Canis lupus familiaris: one gene and its partner. The protein of the gene in region 1 binds, or shares a complex with, the protein of each later gene. Links are inferred from orthologs where the notes say so. Each region holds a gene or a part of one and is shown in the gene's direction. Other genes may lie near its edges. The genes, in order: CYFIP2 and BRK1.

Region 1 (8,236 bases):
AATTTTGAATGAGATCATGGTACTGACAAAATATTATTATTATTAACTCCTCAAATGCACAAGTATCAAAAACCCTTGACCCCTTAGAGAAAGTCTAGTAATCAGAGAGATTCAGAGTTGCTAACCAAAGCTTCTGAACAAGACGTCACCTGTGATTTATCCAAAGTAGTCATTAAATTCCAAAAAAAAAAAAAGAAGAAGAAAGAAAAAGAATCTGGGCATCTTGGTTGAATCCTTGCCACTAACTTAAGGATAAGCAGTTCCTGGTAGGCTTTTTGAAGTATTGGAAAAAAGCATGAGAGTCTATCGAACTTTCAGGGGTCTTACAGGAACTCCCCCTTGACATGACCTTCCAGCCTGACTCAGCTCTGCAGTCCTGAATGTGAACCATCTGAGATGAGCCATCCGAGGCCCACCCCTACCCCTTTTATGTGTCTGTGTCTGTGTCTGGGCAGGGGACGGGGAGGAGGGATGGGGTAGGATGGGTTCTCAGCAGCATCACTGTCACTTCCCTTGGCTTCACAGCCCGTGGGCCAGTTTGCACTGATCTTGCTGGTCTTGGAAATCCCAAGGAAGCTTCTACAAACACTTCTGTATAATGTCAAGAACCTTTCCAGCCTAGAATACCCTGGAGGGGCTAAGCAGGGCTTTCAGGTGTTTCTGGAAGCCCCAAGACTCAAGTGAGTGAGACACAGACAAGGCAGGAAAGATACTAGAAAGGAAGCTGAGGGGAAGGGCCAAACAGGCAGAGAGGGAGAGAGAGAAGGAGACAAGAGGAGTGGAAAGAGTATCTATACAGGTGGTCTGAGAGGGGAGCATGACCACAAGTCAGCCTCTAATTACGTGAGGTGGTACAAATGCATTGAGTAGACTCTCTAATGGAGCCAGAAGAGCCCTTAGAGACAAGCTAGTCCCAGTGCCCTCCCTGCTTTACAGATGGGGAAACTGAGGTCCAGAGAGGGGAAGTGACTTGTCTAAGTCACAAGGTGAGTCACAGGTGGAGGTGGGACAAGAACCCAGGTCTCCTGACTCCCGCCCCAGGGCTCTGTTAGGGCCTGCAGAGCATAGTGGACAGGGGCTTCTAGCATAGCTGGGATGCTGACTGATCTGATGACTTAAATGCTCCAGTCAATAGACATAGGTGGGAGAGGAGGTCCCCCTCTTACCAACAAAATGGATTTTCAAATAGAATTTGATACAAATCAAGTCAATACCACATGGATTGTACTTGATAAATCCTTTCCTGGAAGGATGGCTCCAAGGGCCATCATTAGAATCCTGGTGGCTCCAAGGGCCATCATCAGAACAGTGCTTCTCAGTTCTTAAGGATGATCAGGCCTGCCCACCGATGGGGTTGCAGTGGGTGGACTGTCCCATAAATCAGCCACCATGGTAGCTCTTTGACCATCAAGGGAAATGCTGCGGTAGGGGCGGTGTGCCCCTCCTCTCTGTGGCTGCGCTGCCCGGCCAGGTGCCAGGCGCATGGTGGGTATGGTCCTGGAGGAGATCCAGAGCAGACGTGGTGGCAGAGGGAGGTTGGAGCTTCTGAGAGGTGGTCGGCAAGTGGCCCCTAGCAGTCGCGGCGGCTTTCCCACCATATACAATACCTCTTGCTTTTCTCTTTCTCTCTCTCTCTTCTCTCTCTCCCTCTTCCCTGTCTCTCCTGCCCTCCCATTCCCTCCTCTTTTCTCCTATCTATGTCTTAGGCCTGCCAGTGGTCCCCGCGGGCTTTGTTTCACCCCACTGGTGGCACACAGGGCCGAAGAGGCTGCCGATCCCTGGTATAACACCGCCTGGCTGGGTTGGTTGGGGTACACTTCTCCAGGAGGCAGCAGGAATGGACTAGCCTGGCTCCTCAAGGCCCCTTCCAGCCCTAAGATTCAAAGACATATGATGTGGAAAGATCTAGATTAGCACTTGCACCCTTTGCACTTAAGGCCCTCTGTAAGCGGGAGTTGATTGTCTAGTAGACCTCCTGTGTAAGTACCCATCTTCACCCGCTTATCACCCAGGATTTCAGTAGGCTGTGCAATGCAGCTGGCGCCACCAGAGGGCGCCATCCCTTGGTAATGGATTCCAAGTGCTAAGGGTCTGAAGCTTGAGGTGGCTGGGCGGGGGGCTTGCTCTGATCAAACCGCATTTCGCAATTCCTCAAAATGCTAGAGCTGAAAGGGACTGGCTTGAGAAAGCATCTGGTGCAACCCCCTCGTATTAGCAGATAAGAAAACTGAGGCCCAGAGTGGGACTTTGTTGCCCAAGGTCACACAGCAAGACAGTAGCAGCGCCTGGCCATAGACCCAAGTCCAGGGTGCCACCATAGCCAACCAGTAAAGCAGAGAGTGACTCCAGAGTGATGTGAACTGAGGTTCTCCTCTGATGCCCACGCCCTTGGCCAAGCAGAGCCAGCAAAAACTTGGGCCTTAAATGACTTGTTATTACATCAGGTCCTCCTACCCAGGGATGCCACAGGCCCTGGGCAGAATGTCCTTTCTGGGCGGGCCACTCTCCCTCATGAAGGTTTACATGTTCGAAATTCACTTCTCCAACCCTAAACTGGTGCTTCCTTAAGAAGGGCTTTTTAAGAGCAGACATCTGCAGAAAAAAAGAAAAATATAAACACAGCACAAAGAAACCTTTACCCCAGGATAGAGGGCCAGCCCCTGACCTTCTCCTCCTACTTTCTCTTTCAAGCTGTACATGGTGCGGACCATGCTTGAATCGCTCATCGCAGACAAGAGTGGCTCCAAGAAGACATTGAGGAGCAGCCTTGATGGACCCATTGTCCTCGCCATAGAGGACTTCCACAAACAGTCCTTCTTCTTCACACACCTGCTCAATATCAGTGGTGAGTGACGCTATCCAGGCAGTGGGGAGAGGACGGTTGGGTGGGGGCAGGTCCCAGACCCACTAAGGCTGTTGGACCAAAAGTTGCAAAGAAATGTGGTCATCGGCCAGAAGGGCACGTTTCGCCACCGAGGTAAAAAATGCACACTTTCTGGTGGACTTGGAAAGGCCAGGCTCAGTTCAGCTATTCTGACTCAGCTAAATTTGTCTGGTAGACATTTGTGGTTTATTTGTCATGAAGTCCTTAGTAAAGGGGATTAAATCCAGCAACATACCCACAGATGCAACCAGGCATCTTAAGCCTTAGCTTTTAAGCAGCAGCTCTGTGCTGATTAGTCTTGTTGCTCATTGCAAAGGAGGCTTCCAAGCTGGACCCCAAGCCGTGTCCCCCAGTCCTGTTCTCCCATTAGCAGGACACCTCTGCAGGTGGGACAGGGCAGGGGGAAGGACAGCAGCCTCCAGAGACCCAGGAGTGGTAATGCATTTGTTGGTACTAGAACAGTAACCTTAACGAATCCAGACATCTCCATTAGAGCACAGACCAGGGCCCCTCAAGGCTTCTAAGTGGATAAAAACCAGAATTACTATGTACAAGGGGACGAGGAGCAGTGAAAAGCGGGCACTTGGGGAGCTGGCTTGACACTATGTTTGGATAGCAAGCACACTTTTTCCACTAAGATTGTGGGTCTTCAGGTTGGCCTTGTAGGAGGACGATGGAGATTATGGGGGCATCGAAAGCTTTAAAATGTCACTGCTCTCCTCCACCATGGGGCTGCTACTGTGAGTCTAACAGATACTGTTTTCTAAGTAGATATTAGACTGACCTTCAGGTAAAAGAGCAGGATCTACTGATTAGGTCATATTTATGAGTACCTGCTGTACTCCAGTATAGTGGTAGAAATAGCAAAAGCAATAAGAACCAAGTTAATAGGAACAAAGATCTTTTGGTGCTTCTTCTGTATAACCCACTGCTCTTTCCTTAATGCTTTCAGAAGCCCTGCAGCAATGTTGTGACCTCTCTCAGCTCTGGTTCCGAGAATTCTTCCTGGAGTTAACCATGGGCCGGCGAATCCAGTTCCCAATTGAGATGTCCATGCCCTGGATTCTAACAGACCATATCCTGGAAACCAAAGAACCTTCCATGATGGAGTAAGAGGCAGGATTGGGTCAGCAAGGAGGTTCCCAGGGTGCAGAGGGAGGGCAGTTTGCTAGGGAGCTCTGTTCTTTCCAGAACTTTCGAGATGAGACAGTGTGGCCCCACTAGGAAAAGCGCTCATGCCAAGGATCAGGTCATACCAGATTTGACTCAGCCTTGCAGATAGGCTCAGGATTATACCAGCCCAACTGCCCTTCCTGTGCTCTGTCAGTGTCAGGCAGCTATGCTTGGAAGATAGTCATCTCTGGGGACCAGGAAGCTAATATCCTTAACTGCCACCTGATTTCTTTTGGTCCCAGACTAATTGTTTCAGGCCTTGGATTTATTAACATCATGGACTTCTGATTTCTATAGGCAGACTGTAAAGTAAGGCATTCCGAAGGCAATTTGGAAACCTCAGAATGCTGGAAGGCTCCCTCATATTAACCCCAAGCTTATTCATGTTTTCACCCAAACCTTCATATTTCCCAATCCACTTGCTTTCAGATTGATTAGTAAGCTGCTGGTCTCTGCTTTTCTCTCTTCAGGTACGTCCTCTACCCTTTGGACCTGTACAATGACAGCGCCTACTATGCTCTGACCAAGTTTAAAAAGCAGTTCCTGTATGATGAGATTGAAGCTGAGGCAAGTGACCCGCATCTCCTTTTGTTCCTATAATCTTATTCCAACAATGTGGACTTTTTAAATCTGTAGCTCTTGGCACAAAGTGGGCTGTCTTAGTCCATTCAGGCTGCTATACCAAAAATCCACAGACTGGCTTATAAAAAATACTGTTGTAGAGGCTAGATGTCTAGATCAGGGCATCCTTCTGGGTCACAGACTTTTCATTGTATGCATAGTGGAAGGGGTGAGGGAGCTCTCTGTGGTCTTTTTAGAATTTTTTTTTTTAAGATTTTATTTGAGAGAGAGAGAAAAAAAAAAAAAAAAAAAAAAAAGCCAGACTCGGGGGCTTGATCCCACGACCCTGAGATCATGACCTGAGCCAAAATCAAAAAGTTTAACTGACTGAGCCCCTAGTTTCTCTCTTACAAGAGCCCTAATCGCATTCATGAAGAGTCTACTTTCATGACCTAATCACTTCCCAAAGGCCCCACAGCCTAATATTTTTGGGGGTTAGGATCTCAACATATGAATTTTGGGGGACACACATATTCAGACCATAGCAATGTGGGATCAGTGACTTGTTCTGGAGAATGATCTCTTTTTATGACTTTAAAAAAAAAATTGCAGTATAGTTGATGCCCAATGTTATATTAGTTTCAGGTGTACAACACAGTGATTCTACAATTCTGTACGTCATAACTGTGCTCACCAGAGGTGTAGCTACCATCTGTCCCCGTACAATGCTATTATAATAGCATTCACTATATGGAGAGTGATCTTAACAAATCATGATCATCAAAAAGGACCCAGACCAAGATGATGGTCTTTCTTTTTCAGATATATTAAGGGATAACAAATGGTAAAACTGCATGGGTAATATTAATATTCTAATGAATCTTTTATGGTTGGAACATTTTGTTAATAATAATAACAGCAATATCACCTATCAGTTATTATATATTCACCATTTGCTTTTAAAACAACTTTTTAAATAACCTTTACAGCAATTTAAGGAGGTATATACTATTAATCTGTTTTACAGATTAGTCTTAGACTTAAAGTGGTCAGTTATCATAATGCCAAGGTCACTCAGTGTAAAGTGTCACTTGGTAGAGTGGTAGGATTGAAGTAACCTTTATCTCAACTATTAAGCTGTTTATTATTAGTCACTCAATGGCTTTATTTCTGTAATGGTCAGGATAAGCTAGGTTATGCTGCAGTAACAAATAATTACAAATTCTTAGTACCTTGAAATCAAAGGTTTATTTCTCTTTTATGGGTTGGTTGTGGGCTCTGGTCCATGTAGTCTGCGAGTCAGGACCCACATGGAACATTCACTAATTGCCATGGCAGGAGGAAGTGTTACTGCTACTTCAAAACTTCCACCTGGAAATGACACATGTCATTGGTCAAAGCAAGTCACATGACTGCATCACCTTCACGGAGAGGCGCAAGGAAGTACAATCCTGCCACATGGAAGGACGAGGCCAATAGTAGTGATGGCTACTGAAATTTCTAAGTTTTGCCTCCTGGGAAATGGAATGATAGTCTGGGTTCTTCCTTAACTGCATGGGGCTATATAAACACAGAATGAGGCCAATTAGGTAAAAATATCATAGAAATATAAAACATTCTTGTTTATAAAGGAAAGACATGAGTGTTTTAGGATTAACACCACCACCAACTTAGTTTGACAGTTTATGTATTTCAAAGAAAATCTAGGAGAGGTACTGTTTGCTTTCTCTACCCTCCAGTTTCTTTGGGAGTTGAAAACCTTAATGGACTCCAACCCAGATCTCTTCTCCTGAGCTCAAACTTAGGAAGAGAGATTCCAGGAGACAAATGAACTGGTTGCATCTTAACTTTGACAACCCCATGCTCTGACAAGATCCTGTATAGTTGTGTTCTCCAACAGGTTGAAAGCAAAAGAATTCTAGAGTGTCATGTGGCCAAGTGAGATTCTTAAATATGAAGAAAGCACACAGCCAGGCCCTGGGTAACATTTGAGGGCATGGGGTCAGTACAGATTGAGACCCCCCTCCCAGCTTATGGGCTGTCCCCTTTCTCTTCCCATCTGAAGACTTTGTTCTGTACTACAAAGAGCCTCATGTGCATGTGTGTAGATACCCAAGCTTTGTCTGCCACCACTGCCCACAAACAATGGCCCCTTAGCTAACCCTCAACCCTAGGGGTGCTTACACCTGCCATGCAATCCACATTCAGGAACAATACCAGGGAAAACTACAGACAGGTCTGAAGGGGCTTGAGCTTTTGGGACAAGGATAGTAAAGGCTGGTTCTAGAAGGAGAGCTTAGGGTATGAGTAGGCACCTCTACCTTAGCCCTGCAGGTTCTTCAACTGGAAGAAGACCTGGTGGGACCCTTGAAGCATAAGTCCAGAGCAGAGGCCTTACCTGCAGTTGAGGGCAAAACTGCACACAGCTCTGTGTTTTATGTTCAAGATAACATCTAGGGTATAAAGTAAGAGATACAGAAGCTCTTCAGATAAAGAATTAGCTTTATGGAGCTGAGAATTTGGTGAAGGAAGACTAGAAGATCAGTCCCCTAATTATGCTCTGTTCTCTTTGAAGTCACATGGTGCTCTGCTACCACCACAGCCCCATCTCATTAAGGTCCCACCCTTGGCTATTTCTTGCCATCAATGGAGGGTTTGGTTTTGATCCTGTGTCAGACATGAACTTCTCACCTGAGCATCACAATCTGCCACCGATGTGATGAGACAGACACAGAGATGGCAAATTGAGCCCATATTCATTAAGAGACAAAGGTTTTCAAGCAAAGTTTGAAAAAAAGATCTTTTTCAATTTCCGAGGACCATCAATTTCTTCGTTTGTCAAGCAAGTAACAAATAAAATGAAAGGAAAAGATGAGAAGGTCTAGCAGGGAAGAGGAAGGGTGGGCTGATGTGAATAATTGCAGGATATGAAGATCTATCTTGCCTTCCCACCTTGGAACTGCAAGGAGGGGACCTAAGCAGAGGCCAGTTCCTCAACAGCTTTTTGAACTTTGCCTTCTCTGTACCTAATTAAGGACCTTGAGGGCAAGGGACCAAACTTCTTAACTTACTTAGCCACAGAATCTTCTTTTTTTGCTATTCAAAGTATCTTGCTCTACAACACATAATACAGCCCAGATGCCCCTTGCAATTTGCCTATGCTTCTGTGATAAAGCTAGATGCACAGCACTGACATTCTTGCTTCCCTTTCACAGGTGAACTTGTGCTTTGACCAGTTTGTCTACAAGCTGGCGGACCAGATCTTTGCCTACTACAAAGCCATGGCTGGCAGGTATGAGAATCCCAGGGCTGTAAGGAACAAATGTTCTTAGACTGCTCTCTGTAAGACATAGTTTCCTGTTGTGAAACCTCTCTTCTTCTTCAGCCCCTAAGGAAATATGAATGATTACCTGGGCCTGGACTGGGTGCTGAAATGTAGGAGAAAGGAAATAGGCAGATTTGGTGCTGTACCTCATGGAGCTTACAGACTAGTAGGGATAACAGACTTTAGTAAAAACTGATGAAAGCACAGTGATAAGGGAGGTTGCATGCTCCCCGCAAAGGAAAAGTTCATGGGAATACGTGAATCTATGATGGTTAAACCTGAACTAGTCTTTC
Region 2 (9,020 bases), on another chromosome or scaffold:
CACACCCGTGTGCTGTTGAGCTTGTCACCGCAGGCAGGCATGCCCACGTCAAAGGGTGTGGTCAGGAACCTACACAAAAGTCCTCAGACTTGGAGTTAGTGTTTATAGTCTTGACTCTTTAAACTATGCTCAGTGGGTATTCAGGCTGAAAGCCTTTATTCCTGCACTGGAATGATCCCAGTGCAAGGAGACTATAAATGCTCACCTCTCAAGAGCAAGAAGTGTACATGTCTTCCCTTGACTAACCAAAAATCTTTCTCTGCCTTTATCATTATCAAAAAAGATAATGCTTGTCCTCTTTTCACAAAGCTGAAACACTGACCGTTTCATCATAGGTAAACAGTGATTTGACAACCTGATATGCAAACAATTTCCCTGGAAGGCCAAGGAAGAGAGGTTTCCCAATGGATTCCTCTATCCCCTGTGCCTGGCTATCCTAGAGCCTGGCACTAGGAAGTATTTGTGGCAAGAATTAACTAATGGCCCCACCTTCCTTTACCTTGTATACCCAGAAATTGCCCTTGCACTTTGCCAACTGTGGAACATAGCACAAATAAGAGCTGTCCACCTTTTGTCTGGCTCTTTGGGTGAAGTTGAAGTGGAGAGATTGGACCATGCGGGTAGAGTCAGACTAAAGATTTTCATTTGGAAGACCAGATGGTCCAGAGGGACTTGTCAAGAATTGTCAGATGCTGGGGGGGGGGGGGGGGGGGGGGGATGGGGTGAGGCGCACGCTTGAAAGGAAAAGAGAGGTGGAGATAGTTTGGAAGTGAAGTCAGAAAATGGAGAGAGAAGCAGAGAGTAATGAGTCTTGCAAGACACTGAAATGATTTGAATTGCAAAACTTTTGTTTTCCACTAAGTTTAATTTTCATCTCAAAAGAGACAGATTTTTAACAAAAAAAAATCTTTTATTTATTCATGAGAGACACAAAGAGGCAGAGACACAAGCAGAGGGAGAAGTAGGCTCCATGCAGCCCGATGTGGGACTCGATCCCAGGACTCCAGGATCACATCCCGAGCCAAAGGCAGACGCACTTAACCGCTGAGCCACCCAGGCATCCCTCAAATAAGAGACAGTTATTTTTTTTAAAGATTTTATTTATTTATTCATGACAGAGAGAGAGGCAGAGACACAGGCAGAGGGAGAAGCAGGCTCCCTGCAGGGAGCCCCAAGCGAGACTTGATCCCGGGACCCCGGGGTCACGCCCTGGGCCGAAGGCAGACGCTCAGCCGCTGAGCCACCCGGGCGCCCCAAGAGACAGTTATTTGAAAAGCAAACCAAACAGTTTTTATTGAACAGTTGTGTTTTTTAATGAAAATCCCCGAAGCAAAATTGTAAAATTAAGTTACTGGATAGAGAGGGCTTTGTGCTGTTACGACAATCTGCACCACAGTCCTCTATGCAGTCTTTCAGCTCTGAAGGATCTATTTTTGGAAGTACTATTTGCTGTTACCTCTGGTTCTGATACTCCAGTTCCATGGCTACCACACATATATGGAAAACCAGAATCTCCCATACCACATATTATCAATGACCTACAACATCAACATTGTATCATGTAGCACTCAATATTCTGTGTGCACTGTTCTCAGGGATTGTCGTGACAGCAGCCACATATGCTCTGCCAAAAGATGGTTCAGTTCTTTCAAAGCTAGCAACATTGCCATGGTGCACATGCAATCCTTAGCTGCATAAATGATGGTCCAAGTGCACGCGATTGCAATAAAGATTCACATAACCATGCTTAATGCAATTGACACATTTCTTCAAGCTTTTGACTCCACACTGATTATTACACATGGAGTCATTGACAAAATTCCCAAAGTTCTATGAAGCACATGGTAGACCTAAAGGCAGGGACCTTGTTCCCTTATGGCTGAGGCAATTTGCCACCCAGAAGCACTCCTTGTTGCACCAACAGCATTCCCAAAGGTTTTGCCTCTGTATCCTTGCATCACTCATCATAAACAATTTCTGCACTGAAGAACTACCACACTGGCAAACCCATACTGGAGGACTTCCTGATAGCAAGCTCCCTGAGGTATGTAGGGAAAAGCTCCAGAAGTCCAGAGGAATATTCTTCACTGTAGGAGAGCACTATATCCTTGAGTTGTTTGGAATTACAGGGGAGACCCTAGAACAGGTGTATAGGAAGTCCAGCAAAAGGAGAAAAGCTGAGCCTGACTTGTTCATGGAAGACCATTAATCATAAAAAAATAAAATGTTGGATAGATATGTGTACTTAATTTTCTTTCTGCCTAAAAAGAAAATGTAATCATGAGTGCCTGCTTTGTGAAGAGTCAGGCACTGTGCTTAGTGTTTTATTCTTTCTTACAGAATTCTCCCAACAATCCTAATCCATCCATATTGTTATTCCTTTTTGTTTTTATTATTTTTATCTTTTTAAAAAAGATCTGATTTATTCACGAGAGAGAGAGAGAGAGAGAGAGAGAGAGGCAGAGACACAGGCAGAGGGAGAAGCAGGCTCCATGCAGGGAGCCCGATGTGGGACTCGATCCTGGGTCTCCAGGATCACTCCCGGGGTTGAAGGTGGTGCTAAACCGCTGAGCCACACAGGCTGCCCTGTTATTCCTTAAAAAAAAACAAAAAAACAAAAAAAACTGGAGATCCCTGGGTGGCTCAGCGGTTTAGCGCCTGCCTTTGGTCCAGGGCGCGATCCTGGAGTCCCGGGATCGAGTCCCACGTCGGGCTCCCACCATGGAGCCTGCTTCTCCCTCTTCCTGTGTCTCTGCCTCTCTCTCTCTATCATAAATAAATAAATAAATAAATAAATAAATAAATAAATAAATCTTTAAAAAATAAATAAAAGTAAGTTGATTTAAAAAAATAAAAAAAAACATTTATTTATTCATGAGAGACACACAGAGAAAGCACAGACACAGGCAGAGGAAGAAGCAGGCTCCCTGCAGGGAGCCCGATGTGGGGACTCGATCCTCGGATCCTGAAGCAGGATCCTGGCCTGAGTGCAAAGCAGATGCTCAACCGCTGAGCCACCCAGGTGTCCCCATATTGTTATTCCTGTATTACACATGAAGAAACAAAAGCTCAGAGGGATGAAGTGACTCCTCTTTGGTAGATTTGTGATTTGAAACTGAGATGCCGTGCCTTTAAAGGAAAAGCTGATCTATCCGATTTCTCTGTGACATGTGAGAAATAGAACTACAACAGTATTACTCAGGAAGCGAAGTCTTGAGTGTCAGTTATACCTCTGGATGCCAGGGGTTTAATAGTTAGGGATGTTTATTATTTAAGTAACCATTTCTATGAATACATGAGAGAGTTCAGAAAGGCCTTAGCCTGTTTACAGAGTGATACGAGAAAATATTGGAGTCTGGAATTAACTGGTGAAGGTTCACCACTTAATTGTCTATGTGACCTTGAACTTCAGTTTTCTCATCTGTAAAATGAGAAGCCTCTTCCTGATTTCCTTCCACAGGGTTTGTGAGGGTCCAGTGAGGTAATAGCTATAAAAGCAGCTTTATAGCTTATAAAAACTTGTACCTAAGTAAAGGACTGTTAGTAACGATTTCTTCCCAGCTACTGCTAGAAGTAATCTGATCAAAAATTTTTTTCAAATAAAAGGCACGTATTGCACAAAGCAGATTGTAAATACTCCCTTAAAGAAAAATAAAATTGTCCATAATTCCACTACCTTAACAAACCAGACATTGGCATCTTCATGTATCCTTCTTGTCCTCAAGCAGACAAATTTTTGATACAGTTGCAATTAAAGACAATTTTGTATTTCATTTTCCTCTTCAATTTATCATGTATGTTGCCATAGTGCCCAGAATTACTATTTAAATACATTATATTGCCATAGGTGGCTATATTATTTTTTTTTAGAGATTGTATTTATTTATTCATGAGAGACACACATAGAGATTGGGGCAGAGACACAGGCAGAGGGAGAAGCAGGCTCCATGCAGGGAGCCCGACGTGGGACTCGATCCCAGCACCTCGGATCAGGGCCTGAGCCTAAGGCAGACGCTCAACCACTGAGCCACTCAGGCGTCCCTGGTTGTTTTGTTTTGTTTTTTTTTTTTTTTAAATAACGTTACAAAGGGCACCTTTGTGCTTAAAGTCTTTTTTTTTTTTTCTTTTTCAATGATTTTTCTCAATGAAATAATTAGGTCAAAAAAGTCCGAATTTTTTTTTTTGACAGCTCTTGCTATCAATTTACAAATTGCCTTCAGGAGTTGTGCCAGTTTACAGTGTGACCAGCTATTTAGGAGCCTATCAATTTCCCCTGGGCCTCTCCATCACTGGGTGCCATTGTTTAAACAACAAAAAAAAATGTTTTGTTCATTGGATGGGTCCAAGGTGGGGAATCATGTTGTGCTGCTGAAAGCCATTTTTAAAATGAGTCGTACTTAATGCGTCTTAATCGGCGACACACGGCCAACTTAGTTTGGAGCAACTGACCGAGCGAGCGTCTCGCGGTCCCGCGCCCGCTAACGACCCAAACCGCGGGCGACCGGGTCTGCGGTGCGCAGGAGAGGCGCGGCGCGTGCGCACTGCCCCCTCCCCGGCCGCCTTCTGGCGACTTTTTTCAGGGGCGTGGAGCAGAGAGAAAACGCACGCGAGGACTTGACGTCGCGCAGGCGCATCACAATGCCGGTGGATTCGTGGGTGCCAAGGGATGGGCGTGGGCTGGCGGCGCAGGCGCCCTGGCGGCCTGGAGGGTCGCGGCGCCTGCGCAGTGGCTCTCTTCAGGCGGCAGCCATGGCGGGCCAAGAGGATCCGGTGCAGCGGGAGATTCACCAGGACTGGGCGAACCGGGAATACATTGAGGTCATCACCAGCAGCATCAAGAAGATCGCGGACTTTCTCAACTCCTTCGGTCAGCGGGCGAGCAGGGGGCCGCGGGGGTTGGGTAGGAGGCCGCTCGGGCAGTTTGGCGAAGGCGCTGAGAAGCCTTGAAGGGGCTTGCCCCGGGAGCCCTGGGCGCTTGCTGGTTTCCGCGTCCTTTGCAGCCCACCTTGCCCCTCTCGCCCGGATCCTTAGGCCTCACCGGGCAGTCCCTGTAGGGTTATCCTGCGCCGGGCTGAGCTCCTCGGCTTCATTGCCGTCACCAGCAGATCCATTAGCAAGCCTTGCCCTCTCCCCGACTCTATAGAGGCAGCTGCATCCACAGCCTCGTCTTCGGTAGCCTCCCTGCTTCCTTTGTGACCCGCTTCCCTTCCAGTTCCCGCTTTGCACTTAGGGTGCGTCAGTCACAACGCAGCCACAGCCGTGTCGCTGCCCTCGTGTGAGTTTCTTGAGGCTTCCGCATCATTGTCAGGATCTCTTGAGCGCCATACCGTTGAGTCGCCTCTTCTGTCTTCCGGTTTTGCTGCGCTGAGAGTGGTGGGAGATGAGGCCAGATGTAAGGTCACGGAGAGCTCTGTATTGCTGCCACTAGCCAGCAGTAGGTATTGCTTCTGCTTCTAGCAAAATCTTTCCTAGGCATGGCGCGCTTGTGACAGATTCTTTCTGTTTTGTTCGTGTCCTTCTGGACAGCAAACCTGTAACAGACTCCCATCTCATGTGCTCCAAGTGTTTCCTTAACAGAACTGGGCACTGCGTAGACTTAAGTAATCACAAGGTGTAAGGATGACATCTAGTGATCTTTTTCCAACTAGTGTGCTTCTGTTCCACTAATTCAGCAACAAGCAACGAAGATTAAGTAGGGGAAACCGATGTATTTAAAAAAAAAAAAAGATTTTAAATGAATTAATTATTTTCCAGCTGGAGAACTGATGCATCCTGAGGAGTAAGGTAAAAGAGCATGAATTTTCTTAGAAAGCATCAGCAAGAGAAACCAGATCTCGGTAGAAAGCGCTCTCAGGTACTCTGGAGGACACAGAATAAGAATCATTTCCTGCTTTCAAGGAATTTCTGTCTTGCAAATGAAATAATGACAGTTTCAGAACATCGGTTTTGTATTAATATATATCCTTATAAAGTGTGTAGGACTATAATTTTGATGAGTCTTAGTATGATGGATCTTTCTCACCAGGGAATGACTGAGGGTAGTTACTGAAAAGAATAGTATAGAGTCATATGAAAGAATAGTATAGAGACGCCTGGATGGCTCAGCGGTTGAGCATCTCCCTTCCGCTCAGGGCGTGATCCCGGGATCCAGGATGGAGCCTGCTTCTCCCTCTGCCTGTGTCTCTGCCTCTCTCTCTCTCTCTCTCTCTCTCATGAATAAATATATGAAATCTTAAAAGAAAAAGAAAGAATAGTATAAGTATGTCATTGATACATATTCACACACATAATTTGGTATAGAGGTTGTAGTAGGGAATGGTAGTCAACATAGATCTCGTATATCCTGACATCTTTTAAGGACTATGAGCAAAGGAGTATGGTTTAGTGAAAAAGATACATGGATTTTTGGAGATAGACTCAAGTTCAGAGGCTAGATTAATTGATTTGAGTGAACTGAGACTATTTACCCTACTATTCAGATAATCTGGGTTTCTTTCCTCAGTTTTTTTCTTTTTTCCTAAGTTCTATGCAAACTCTTTCAATACTAGTTTTCATAATTGGTTTCTCCTACTTTTTCTGGAGAGCTTGAACTATTATTGGAGGTTGTTCACAGCATTATTTACTCATAACATTTCTTCAGACAAAGGACCATGGAAGAGAAACCAAAATATTTCATGGTAGTAGAAGGATGGAATGGTGCTTCTTCCAGAAGGAGGATCCTTCCAGAAGGATCTTCTAGGAGAAGATCACGGCTTGAGATTTGGCTTAGTTAGGAGAGGCAGTGGAAAGTAGTTGGAAAAATCACTGACATGGAGAGTTTTAACCTTAAAAAGCAGAATTAAAAGATTTCACCTATCTGGTAAGATCTGATCTATACACACAGATTATCTAAGCAAAGTATTAAGAACATCAACTAAATCAAAACATCTAAAATAACAAGTCATAGGGCGCCTGGGTGAGTTAGTCAGTTAAGCTTCCGGTTTCAGCTCTGGTAGTGATCTCAGTGTCGTGAGATGGAGCCCCAATTTGGAGTCCCTGCTCAGTGCACAGTCTGCTTAAGATTTCTCTCCCTCTCCCTTTCCCTCTACCCCACCCACTCAGGCACATGCCTTTTCTTTCTCTCTCTCTCTCTCTCTCTCTTTCTCATAAATGAATAAATTTTTTAAAAAGTAAATTAAGCTGGGGCTGTTTTTCAAAATTTAAAAATGATCTAGCACAAGTCCCCCAAATTTGGATCTGGGTAATGTAATAACTTCATTTCTGAGCACTGAGTTGTATTAATGAACCTTTTTTTTTAAGGATTTATTTATTTTAGAGAGAGAGCGAGCTTGAGTGAGGGTGGAGTAGAGGGAGTCTTTTTCTTTTTTTTTTTTTTTTTTTTTCTTTTTTTAGATTTTATTTATTTATTCATGAGAGACAGAGAGACACAGGCAAAGGGAGAGAAGCAGGCTCCATGCAGGGCCTGACATGGGACTCAATCCTGGGTCTCCAGGATCACGCCCTGGGCTGAAGGCGGCGCTAAACCGCTGAGCCACCCAGGCTGTCCCGAGGAAGAGATAGTCTTAAGTAGACTCTGCTGAGCTGGAAGCCCAAAATGGGGCTCTGTCTCAGGATCCTGAGATCATGACCTGAGCTGAAATTAGGATTTTTTTTTTTTTTTTTTAGATTTTATTTATTTATTCATTAGAGACAGAGAGAGGCAGAGACACAGGCAGAGGGAGAAGCAGGCTCCACGCAGGGAACCTGATGCGGGACTCCATCCTGGAACTCCGGGATCACACCCCGAGCCAAAAGGCAGACACCCAACTGCTGAGCCACTCAGGCGTCCCCTGAAATTAGGATTTGCACCACCCAGGTGCCCCTATATTAATAAACTTGTAAATCACATACATTTATCTTTGACATAAATCTTGGTAATTTATGATCTACAGTCACTAGATTTATAGTGGATGAGTCTCGGAACTGACCAAAAATTGAAGAGTTTGAGATTAGGATTTGCAAAAGAGAAATGTCTCTTGTATTGCTTTATAAGCAAGGAAATCCCTGCACTGAAATTTTATCAAATGTGTGAGTCACATTTTATGGTCAAATAGAGAATAAAGACTTTTCTTTTTGAGATTTCCAACATGTCCTAGGCTGAGGAAGTATACACACAAAATTCCAATCTTAAGGAGCCAGAAGAACTAGTTAGCGTAGGCCATTATTCTCCCTTAAAGTGATGCTAATGGTCTAATGTTGGGAGTGATTGCTAGATGGTTTTTGAAGATGTTAGATAATTAATTTAGTCCTTTTATTTATTTATTTACTTTTTAATTTAGTCCTTTTAAAGGAAAGGACAATTATTACAATTAAGAATGGAATTATAAGGCAAGGTTAGAAGCTAAAGCAATGTGATTCATCAGTCAGGTATACCTGAGGCAAGTTCTTGAAGATTGACATTATCACTGATATGAGTGTAGACAAGGACCAACAGGCTGAGAAACTTGAACAATCATGAAACACTTGAGACACTGTCTTGGCATTGAATGACTCAGGGTGAGCATGGGGCGGGGGGATAACATTTTCCCACTCCAGGCCCTTTGTGTGACCCCTCAGTTCTGAGGTGTATGTGTAGGGCTTAGACTGAGTTTGTAATACTATGATTTGGTGGTTCAGAGTTTTGTTTTTTTGTTTTTGTTTTTTTTTTAAGATTTTATTTATTTATTCATGAGAGATACAGAGAAAGAGAGGCAGAGACATAGGCAGAGGGAGAAACAGGCTCCATGCAGGGAGCCCGACGTGGGACTTTTTTTTTTTTTCCCTCTCCCCCGACCTGGGACTTGATCAGGGACTCCGGAATTATGCCCTGAGCTGACAGATGCTCAACCGCTGAGCCACCCAGGCGTCCTGGTTCAGAGGTTTAATAGGAATTTACTTTGAGGGCAGTCTTTGAAAATGGCAGCAATTCAGGGCTCCTGGTGCTCAGTCAGTTAAGCTTCTGCCTTCAGCTCAGGTCATGATCTTGGAGCCCTGCATTGGGC

Evidence for each region.
Region 2: CYFIP2 (region 1) and BRK1 share a complex: the UniProt entries of both Homo sapiens proteins name them as parts of the WAVE1 complex. The link is inferred for Canis lupus familiaris from reciprocal best matches to the Homo sapiens genes CYFIP2 and BRK1.

Annotation. Positions count from the first base shown.
Region 1 is NC_049225.1:53,722,701-53,730,936, reverse strand, and holds part of CYFIP2 (cytoplasmic FMR1-interacting protein 2), read left to right. Parts: intron 1-1,706; coding exon 1,707-1,781; intron 1,782-2,691; coding exon 2,692-2,845; intron 2,846-3,836; coding exon 3,837-3,993; intron 3,994-4,527; coding exon 4,528-4,624; intron 4,625-7,833; coding exon 7,834-7,910; intron 7,911-8,236. UniProt on the Homo sapiens protein: Involved in T-cell adhesion and p53/TP53-dependent induction of apoptosis. Does not bind RNA. As component of the WAVE1 complex, required for BDNF-NTRK2 endocytic trafficking and signaling from early endosomes.
Region 2 is NC_049241.1:8,297,406-8,306,425, reverse strand, and holds the start of BRK1 (protein BRICK1), read left to right. Parts: upstream 1-4,668; 5' UTR 4,669-4,749; coding exon 4,750-4,867; intron 4,868-9,020. UniProt on the Homo sapiens protein: Involved in regulation of actin and microtubule organization. Part of a WAVE complex that activates the Arp2/3 complex. As component of the WAVE1 complex, required for BDNF-NTRK2 endocytic trafficking and signaling from early endosomes.